2 linked regions of the Drosophila melanogaster genome follow. The protein of the gene in region 2 interacts with the protein of the main gene of each other region in a biochemical or structural test. Each region holds a gene or a part of one and is shown on either strand. Other genes may lie near its edges.

Evidence for each region.
Region 1: the proteins of cdm (region 2) and mago are reported together in a solved structure, tested with the Drosophila melanogaster proteins (one study listed by BioGRID).

The regions. Positions count from the first base shown.
Region 1 is NT_033778.4:21,126,790-21,130,531, reverse strand, and holds mago (mago nashi), read right to left. Parts: upstream 1,956-3,742; 5' UTR 1,839-1,955; coding exon 1,578-1,838; intron 1,520-1,577; coding exon 1,337-1,519; 3' UTR 795-1,336; downstream 1-794. Other genes in the region: magi, read left to right, coding at 1-167, 224-657; Tmtc3 (transmembrane O-mannosyltransferase targeting cadherins 3), read left to right, coding at 3,513-3,742. UniProt on the Drosophila melanogaster protein: Core component of the splicing-dependent multiprotein exon junction complex (EJC) deposited at splice junctions on mRNAs. Involved in exon definition of genes containing long introns, including the rolled/MAPK gene.
Region 2 is NT_033777.3:18,178,554-18,185,342, forward strand, and holds cdm (cadmus), read right to left. Parts: upstream 4,927-6,789; 5' UTR 4,794-4,926; coding exon 4,638-4,793; intron 4,540-4,637; coding exon 4,043-4,539; intron 3,981-4,042; coding exon 3,299-3,980; intron 3,194-3,298; coding exon 2,594-3,193; intron 2,528-2,593; coding exon 2,330-2,527; intron 2,270-2,329; coding exon 2,132-2,269; intron 2,073-2,131; coding exon 1,513-2,072; intron 1,497-1,512; exon of another isoform or gene 1,449-1,496; coding exon 1,364-1,448; 3' UTR 722-1,363; downstream 1-721. Other genes in the region: CG7208 (uncharacterized protein), read right to left, coding at 5,230-6,040, 6,105-6,592.

The sequences.
Region 1 (3,742 bases), on a different chromosome or scaffold from region 2:
GGTTACCATGATCCTTCGCCGTCGTCGAACTCCGCTTTTGCAGCAGGCGCCAGTCAGCACACAACTGCGTCGTTATCCTTATGATGTGATTGTCAGCCGGCATGAAAACGAGGGCTTCGGATTTGTTATCATATCATCATCGAACCACTATTACGGCTCGACAATAGGTATGCCACTGACTTTAGACTTTGTTTCAATTCATCTAACATATCAACGTATTAAGGGAAACTAATACCCGGCAGTCCGGCGGATCGTTGTGGAGAGCTCAAGGTGGGCGATCGCATAGTGGCAGTAAACCGCATCGAGATAGCTGGCATGTCGCACGGCGATGTAGTGAATCTCATCAAGGAGTCTGGTCTTCATGTGCGTCTCACTATCGGCGTTCCGCTGAAGGAGGGTGGTCCCAGTCCTGGCGGCAGTAGCGTCGGTGTGTCCAGCAACACTCCGCTGCAGGCATCTCCCAGTCTCCTGAAGGCACAACTCTCCCACCAGCAGCAACTTCCGCAGCAGCATCTACAGCAAGCGCAGCTGAATCACCACCACCAGCATCTTGAGATGCCAATGTCAATGCCCGTGCCAGGACATGGCAGCTATTTGGAGCGACCCAGTAACAATATCTCAGCCACTTTGGCGCTGCATCAGCAGCCACAATTATGACTCTGAGACCTACGCATTCGGCTCTATAAGAGCTTTCTATAGTGTTGCATCGCCTGCAGGCCCTTAGTTTGTACTTTCGTTAGCAAAGTACTCACCCCAAAGACTGAATTTAGTAGCATATGTAAGCCAAACCCTTTGCAAGTCTCAAAACCGTATGTGAGTGCGTATTTTATTCCAGTTTCTTAAGATACCGATCATTATCTTAGGCTAAGTTACTGCTTGTACTTAAACGTTAAGACAATTTGCCAGTTTGTGAGATATTAATCACTTAGCTTAAGCTGTTTTAGACATATACGAATTGTACAAATGTAAAGGACTTTAAATTTTTATCTCGAGTATGTATATTATTCAAACACAATAGATATTAAATTGTATTTTTCAAATATACCTACACATTATAACATCAAAAGTTAAATGGTTTACTATTGTGTTTGCTATTATTGTTAAACTTGTTGTCTGCTACTACATCGAAGATTTGCTATTTACTTCTATAGCACAATCTAGACTGTACACAAGACTTTGAAAACAAAGTATCTTCCAATCCTTTTTTATTCACTGCAAACTGTACCAAAAAGTACAAAGGTATAGCTTATACAATTACAAGTATCGTAGAAGTTCCATTATAAAATACGATGTGTCCGTCCGATAAATAGGCTATGCTTGAGGTGGTGGCTACGGCTTATATGGGCTTGATCTTGAAATGCAGGCCGATGAGTGAGAAGACCAGGCACTTGAGATCCTGCACCAGGTAGTAAAAGCATCGCAGGCCCTCGGGATCTTTTGACCGGTTCACGTCCACCAATGATCCCGTTTTCGAGGTGGTGAACGAGATGTGCTCGTCTCCGATGACGATCTCCAGTTCCTGAAAAAGACACATGGTTGTTTAGTTGAGCTCTAGTTACGGAGTGCGGCAAACCGACCTGTCGACCCACGCGATCTGGTGGCGGCCAGGGCAGATCGTCCTCCTGCATGATCTCCGAGTCGATGATGATTCGCTTCAGTTCTTCCATCACGGACTGGTGGACGAAGGCCTCCTTGCGGATCATGGTGTCGTTCTTGTAGTTGGAGTTGTTGGCGTACCGCAGCTTGCCATCCGGCCGGAACTCGAACTCCAAGAATTCGTGCCCGAACTTGCCCTTGTGTCCGACGTAGTAGCGTAGGTAAAAGTCCTCCGTGGACATGATTGCTTCTAGTTTAAAGCGTAACTTTGAAAGACTTTCAGAAAAATATCAATTTTTGGTTTCCCACTCTTTTTCCTTTACTACAACGCGTTAGAGATGGGAAAACACACGGAATAACTATCACCGCGTATCGATAAGTGTTCGCTGCGAATGGCTGGCAGGGATGAGGAAGAGAAGCCAGCCTATCGGCGTATCGATAACACAACAATAATCCACGTACAAGTCGCGCATTTGGCACTGATTTTTATTAAAATGTAATTCAGTTTTGGATGCCATGGAACTACCTCAACAAGTATGTGAACGACAGGGCGGTGTGTGAGAACCCATCTGTTAAACGGTGCTCGAAACTCGCTGGGCAACATTGTAATTATTGGCGAATTGAAACAAAGTTGGCAAATCGGGTTTGTTTGCGGCCGTGTGATTGTGTGCGTGTGCGAGGCCATCGCCGTTGTAATGGCGTCCATGTCACTAAAATGGGAGAGGACATGCGGCTGGCTCTCCGGTTCCAGCGCCCATAGCCATCGCCATGTCCTTATCCTTCTCCAGTGCCCCGTATCTCGGTCAAAGTAATTTTACAAAAACACACACGGCCATTAATTTGCGCTCGGCGAGCGGGAGAGCCATGAGCACGGAGAGCGCACGTCCTGGCAAGTGAAAGTGCAAGGATGCGGGACCGCGCATGTGTCGCTCTTGGCGGGAAAATGGAATAAGGGTAAACGGAGCACGTGCCCGCCCGGTCGTCCTTCGGGAAAAGTCGGTCGTGCAACAAAGTTGCGCTCAGCTGAGATGCAATCCTCTCCAGCTCCCGTTGAAGCTAGGCCCCTTTTTTCGCTCTTTACGAGCGCTTACTTCGCTTGTGGTGGTTTGTTTTGACTGAACGCCCGGAAAATCGATGGCATTGAGTGCAACATTGTGGCATCCGCCCATCTGCCCACCGATGTGCCCCGCCTAGTAATGCTCCAGGTCCCGCAACATTTACAACAGTTTATGCAAACAAATCTCTCACGCGCTCTTCGCCTCTCTAAAAGCGCTCTCCGTCCGCATACTTGTACTTGTGCGTACCCAAAGTCCGGATCCGGAGCTCTGTCGGTCCGCCCGGGTTACAACTTTGTTAACTTCGGGCTTTTGTGTGTGCAGTCGGTAACCAGGACAGTAACCGGGAAGGAGTTACTTTGTTGCGTATTAATTGATTTTTTCCGCAATCAGTTTTTGCTTCTTTGTATAACTTCAAGTGCTCATAAAAAGCGGTAGAAAGTTTGTCTTTAAAAAGACTTTGACTTGGGGGAAAATCGGTAAGTTGCGGATGAAGGACTATGGAAAGTAAGAGGATTTGGGTGTGTATCCAGAAAAGATGCGAGGGCTTACATATACATTACTGCACAATTTTGTTGCTCGGGGGAATCCCCTTTCAAAAAAAATATATAGATATGTATGTTGCCTACATTTAGGGGCTTTCTCACTAATAGGAAGTGTCTATACTTAAATTGGTGGACTTGTATACTTAATTAGTTTCCAGTTAACTTAAACTAATGGTTTTCCCACTTTCTCATTTTTTTCCAGGCCATCTAGGGACCTGCCGACCGTGGCTGGGTAAAGCCCTACATGCAACATTTCGCCGCCTGAACGAACAATTGTGGGTACATGACGCCTTTCACGAAGTAACGCGAAATCAACATGTCAACGAACCCCAACCCCGGAATCCATCAGTATGCACCCTCCACTTTGCCGAGGGAACGGGAGCGGGAAGGAGCCACAAACTCGCCGCAGCGCAACCTGCTCGAGTTCCTGTGTATATGCGTAGCCTGCATAGTCTGCTATTACAACAGTACTCAGTGCGGGCTTGTTTTCGATGACATCAGCGCAATCAGGGACAACAAGGATCTGAGGCCGCACACTCCGCTGAT
Region 2 (6,789 bases):
AGATCTAATTGTGCAATAATCTGGTATCACAACTATGCTCTTACCATTTCAGTAAACGCGTGAATATAATTGTACAGTTGAATTTGAATTGTCTAACTTAAGGCGTAGGCGTTTACCACCTTGATTGAGTACATATATATCCCCCGATTTCTGCCACATGCATACATAGATAGCTATATGACATCCAGACATTCATGCCACATGCCACTATTATACACACATACTATATAAAACATGTTTACTACTCCACGACTCAAATTTGCAAATATTGTACGCTATTTAGCCTAGCAGTTAGAGCAGCATACCCATAATATATTTATATGAAACAAATCGCCCAGCAGGACACATAAATTGTGGTATGTATGTGCGTGAGTGTATTTTTGTATGTACTACCTATTAAATATAGAAATATATATATATATATATGTGCGGAGAACCGTGTTCCTGAACACCGATCAAAAGGAATTAGGCATTTTTGTTTGTCCTGGACTGGCCGTGGATGATCCTGCGGACCGCCAAGGAATAGAGATGTGCCAATTTCTGGTCCACCAAGCACAGTTGATAACCTATAAGCATCCTTACAACGTCACCACAACAGACTGGGACAAATTGCTGGTCGTAGCGTCTACTTCTATACGTTAATCTATATCTATATGTTAAACTGTAATTTTGGATCCGTGTCAACCAGTCGTTTAGTTCCATAGTCAAGTCATTACCGGGTCCGTTAGACAAGGATTTATGCAGATACTCTCAACTAATCTAGAATCTAGACAAAGGCGACGAAGCAGATCAAAAGAGTTTTGCTACCACTACCAAGTGCTGTACACGCCAAAAACGAAAGGCTTCAGTTTAGCTATAGACACAAATATATATATATATATATATATTATATAAAGAGATGTATTTACATATTTTTGGCATTATAGATACATACACAATGTGGAAAATTGCAAAACAATAATATGGGTGGAGAGGTAAAGGGAAAGTAATTCTTAGAAAGGCAGATTTTTTCATACAGGAAACGGTGAAAATCAAACTTTTCAACATAAGAATTAAACATATATATATATATGGGAAAAACAAAAACTATAAAACATTTACTAAAAGTGAAAACAATAAATGAAAAATGAGTTATACACCCTTAAAACAATATATATGTGCAAATTGTAAATGGAGCATGTAATTTTGTAAAAATTATAAATAAAAGTTTATCAAGTCGAGAACTTTTGAACTTAAGTTAAAATTGGAGACAATTTACAGAGCTGACGGCCTATTTAAATACAAACTAAATACAATTATAGAAACTAGATCAAAATCCGGATGGATAAAGATGTCATTTGGCCACTTATTGCATACACTCATTTCACTGGAACTTTTCTGTAAGTCCTCGGGTCTTCATTGCCATTTCCGACAAATGTTGTTGCAATAACCTCTTGTTGACCTTTTCCCTGTGAAAAAATTTATAAAATTAATACAATCTTTAAGGATCTATATATAAGTAACGCCTCTCACTTGATTATTAGAGCAGTGTAGCGCGTTTTATCCGCGTCGGTTATGAGCTGTGTGGGGAAATTGGGAGTGGACATTAGGGACTTCATCCAGACGGCCATCTCGGCGGCATATTTTCTGTTCATGGCAAGAAGGATGTCTGCAAACTTATCCACCTGCGACCGCGGCGTTAGGTAGCCCACGCACATCATCGCCGTGTACAGCGTCTGCTCGCCGGTGGCCAGGACAACTTCTGTGACATGAGCATGGTTACGCGACTGCATCACAAAGTGGGTAAGAAACTGTATGCTATTTCGGATGGCACCACTCTCCGGCAAAGTCATTCCACGCTGGGCGTAAAAGACCAGACGATCGTAGGCCAGTGTCTTGTCCTCCAAAACTTGAGGGATTTTCTTAATGATCTGCGTCAGACAGCCGAAGAAGGTTTCCATGGTGTCCGAAATGTTGGAGAAGTTCTGCTCGGGAGTGCTCTCAAATAGCTTAAAGCTGTGTTGGATGAACTCCCTCAGAAGTTGCTGCATCAGCGGCTTGCAGCCTTCGTCCTTAAAGAACATAACAATGGCCTGAAACAAAGGATTCTATTAGATCACTCAGTCATTTGCAATATATTGGTAAGGCTCACCGTTTTGGATATTTCTAGAGTAGGAGCGCAGCATCGGGTCTGAAAGCTGGCAACAATGAAGAGACAAAGATCCTGCAGCATTGGCTGGAAGCTGCTCCTTAAATTCGTTATCGCATGCTTCATCGCACTGCAAGCGGCCTATATGAATACGATAACATTTTATTAAAAATATGCAAAATTTTGTGTTTATTGCCTTACCTCTAGGACATCGATCTCCTCCACCCACATCTCGGCGATTCTCTTGAAGATGGGCATCGTGCGCTGCATGACGAGCAGAACTGGCTGCACAATCGGTTGGTCCGTCGCCTGCTCGTCCACATCCGTGTTTAGCGAGGAGAAGAGAGTGGAGATCATATTGAGCCGGAAGATTGTGCGAATTCGAGCAGCGGGAGTTTTCTAGTGCAACAAAAGAAATGGTTAGCAACTGATCTCTTTATATATTTTATATTTATATTTACTCACCGAATCTGCCTGGCAAATGGCCTGTAGCTCCTCGAAGCAGGGACTGACGATAATATCCAAGTATTTGGGTATTTCCTCTGGCCGCAGCAGGCTCATTAGCTTACCGATGCTGAACATAAGCCTCACCGAATCGGAGTTCTTCATGCGGCCCGTGTTTAGGGAAGCGTGGCATGCGTTTAGGAGCGGATCCGCATACGGCTTCAGCTGCAGCTGACAATCGCGACACAGCTCCTTCAGGCCGAGCGTCGCCTGTGCTGACATTGAGGAGTTGAGGCCGCGCACCAGTAGGTTAATGGCTGGCGGAATGTACGCCGGATTCTCCATCAGCCAATTGCAATAGGAGCCCATTGTCTCTAGCGCAGTGCCCAGTAGCTTGACATTGAGCTTCTCGTAGGGAATCTCGGCCAGCACGCGCATCAGCCGTGGTATTTGCCGCTTCTCCTCGCCACCAAAGTGCTCGGCCACCGACTGAAAGGAATAGATGCACGCCTCCAGCTTTGTCCAGTGTGTGGGATGTCTTTGCAGATCGGCAATGGCCTCGTCCAACATGGCAGCCAGAATCTCCAAGATATAGTCATTCAACACATCATAGCAATACATCTAAAATAAATAAAATAAATGCTATATTATGCCTGTTTGTTAATAGTTGAAAACGGTAGCCAATCCTTTCGATTTGGAGACACTCCAACTGTTGCAACCACTCACAAAGGTATCGGATATATCCTGTCTGTAGCACCTAAAGCATTCCAAATCATCGGAGCTCCACTTGGCGAGCGACTTTTCGTCTGGCTGCTCTGACTTTCTTACTAAAATCCTGGTTAGATGGGCGTACAATGGTTTGATGTACTCCCAGCACTTGTGTTTCTGCTCATCGTTAGACATGGCGAACACTTCGTCTTGCAGCATATACCAAAACGCCAAGGCCATTGTGCTGCAGGACTCCTCCACCGGGTAAATGCCCGGCTTGTCCGTGCAGTGGAGAATCTCCTGCACGATGCGATGCACTAGGATAGACAATTCCGGATCCGCGGACGTGATGCCGCTGAGCAACAGCGTCGAATGTCGCTCCACCGAAGAGACGAACAGCATGTAGATATGTACGATAATGTCCTCGTTGTCGTTCTCCCTCTTCCATTCCGTCTTTGTGATTTCGGATAGCGAGTCCAGGAACATTTTTATAAGCACAAATGCCGTCTTTGGATAGTTGTGGCAGTCTGGCTGGATGATAATGTTCACCATGGTCTTCAGACAGGACTCGGCCAGTTCGTTCTCATCGGCGGTCATGCAGCCGTCGCCGGCGTGTATGCAGGGCCAATAGCACTTGTGCACCACTTCCAGGAGCACGGCGGTGATGGTGACGCAGCCCTCAATGGTGTAGCCGATGTTTCTGTCCAAGTTGGAAACTCACTTAGAACGTGTAAAGAATAATTTTGTAAATTGAATACTCACTTGATCCAGGTGCCGACGCACTTAACGGCCCTGTTCATGTTACTGTACGCCTCGGCATCCCACACGCGGTTCATTTGCAGCTTCAGATATCGCTCAACGGTGTGAATGACCAACTGCACTCGCTTGGCGATCTCGGCGCGCAGAACAACCCGCTTGACAGACGTATGTATGACCTGCGCTTCCTCGGGAATGGCGGTCAGCACCTCCAGCATGATCCACAATTGCACATCGGCGCTGACATTTGGCATCCGTTGATTCTGAAACGTGTTGATCACCTCCTCGATGGCGCCGGGCCATTCGCCCAGCATGTGAACGATGTAAGCGCCCAGCGAGATGCACAACCGATTGAGGACGATCTTCGGTCCGCCAGCGAAGCGAACGATGGATTCGAGTATCTTTTGCTTTAACTCCTCGCGATTCTCTGGCGGCACTTCGTGCCAGTGCTTCATAAGCTTGGAGTGCAGCGTGATGGCGCCGAAGAACTGCACCTCCTGACTCTGTGTGGGCGGTGGGGTGATTGGGTGGGCGGTAGGTGCATGAGTATACATATCCGGGTAATTGATGCATTGATGCGCAGGTCCTGCGTGGTACTCACCTTGCCGAGCTGCATTAGCTGCCAGGAAAACTGCCAGGCCTGTGGACTGGCCTCCGCATCGGTAAGCCATTCATGGGTGATCGCCTGGTTCTGCGAGTTCGAGCGGTAGAACGACACGACCGCCTCCTCCAGACGCGCAATGTCAATGGGCTCCATGTGGAATGGCTGCTGCTGCTGCTAATGCTGCTGCTGCCGAGAGGCAGTCTCCTGTCCGCTAATCCTCGGGTGGTGGTTTTCTTTGCTTCTGCCTGTGGGCACTGGATTCGCGAGTGTGACCAACGCGCGAAGTCACCAATTCGCGGACGGGCCGAGTGTGCGGTCACTCCATTTTCGACTTTGCCGCGCTTTTTTTCCTCCTGTATTTTTTATAAAAAGTGTTGAAATGTACGTATTTAATAATAAATAAATATGTAATATAGTATAAATTGCTTGTGGCCTATATGCTCGATATATGCAGGAAAAATTCAATTTATAACAACATTTATTCATTCGTACACTTCATAAAATTTTACTATTTCTATTTAGTAAATACTCTCTGCAATTGAGGAGTATCTTAACAAGTTAACAGTGAATTTGGAAAGCCCAAAAAGTCCTATATAAAATCGAATTTAAGTTGCCAGAAACAGTATCGCAATTTGGAACACCGGTCGGCGATGAAATCCCTGCTATCCTCATCGATATACACCTCAATAAGGACGTTGTCGCAGAATTGAGCGACCTGCCTCTCCACGTCTTGGCAGTCCAAAGTGGAGCGATTAACGACGGCCCATCTGTCGGTATTCAAGCCCGGGTTCTGTGACTCCAGTAATGCGAAGATCACACAGAGCGACTTATTCGGACTGACCAAGGGCAGGACAAAGGTCGTCCTCACTAGATCGAAGAACTTAATGAAGGGCTGGCAGGAGTGGGGCGGCTCCACACCTTCGACTGCTTCGATGACCCATTGGGCCGTTTCGTTATCCTCGCAGACCACCAGCATGTTGCAGTCGAATGTCTGCGTTGAGGCACACTCACTAAAATTGAGATCGCTGACGCTCGATCCACTGTCCTCGAATATTGAATGAAAGTGCTCCATTAGGGCGATAGTGTCCACACCATCCGAGCACGAACTCTGGTTAGTTATCACCAAGGCGTAACGTCGGTTCTCGGGCATTGTGTTCGCATACGGCGGCCGAGTATCCCTCTTGCGACAATTCTTTGGCGTGCAGCAGTCCTTCTTCCTCTCCTTGCACTCCTCGGCCTGCTCCACTGAGCAGCTTGTGCGGCTGGTCTCCGTCTTGCAGCAGTTCATCAGGTGGATCTTCGAACCAAATATGGAAGCCATGCTGCCGGCTCGTTTGTCCGCGAGCAGATTCTGCTGCGGAACCACCTTGACCACGCTGTTCTCTTGGTTGCTTCGTATTCTGTGAATGAATCAGTTGGGTATCCCTATCATTTACATATATAGTTATTACACACAACACACACCTTTTGGCAGCCGATTCCTCATCGGAGGCGCACACTCTCGTCTTTCGCGCTACGGAGCTGGCGCTCGTGCTTGCGGATTCGAAGCTGGCGTTCGTCTGGTTCGACGCACTGGATGCGGAGGAATCTTGCGAGTTCGAAGCCTCGCAAAACTGCGGAAGCCTGTCCACTGGCAGAAGCATAGAGCTCTTCGGCATGTTAAGGAAATCCAGTTGGCTCTTGCCCTCTGGAATTGTATAGAATTGGAGAAATCCTACAAAGGAATTTTCGTGGTACAGCGAAAAGGCTGTACCATTAAGCGTTGTCGACGGATAAGTATAATCGCTTTTATCCGGAATTCTGAGCAAATTTGTAATAAACTCATCGTTTTCCAGAGACTTGTGAAAACTCTGTACGTTTAGGCGAGCCAAGGGAAGACCTACTTTTACCTCCAGTTTTTGCTTCAATTCACCAATGGTCGCATTATTGTGGAGCTCGAACATTTCCGGCATCTGTATGGGATTGAGAAATGAAAATATGTATTTATTAAATTTAAGCTTCAATTATTATAGCTCCATTTATAAGCCACAATTGTAAAATATGTGCGGGCTTAAGATAACTGCATACCACACTTGTGTTTCCCTCGGCATCTAATTTCACTTTGACGAACATTTTATGTAAGAGAAGATATTAAAACTTGAATTAACAA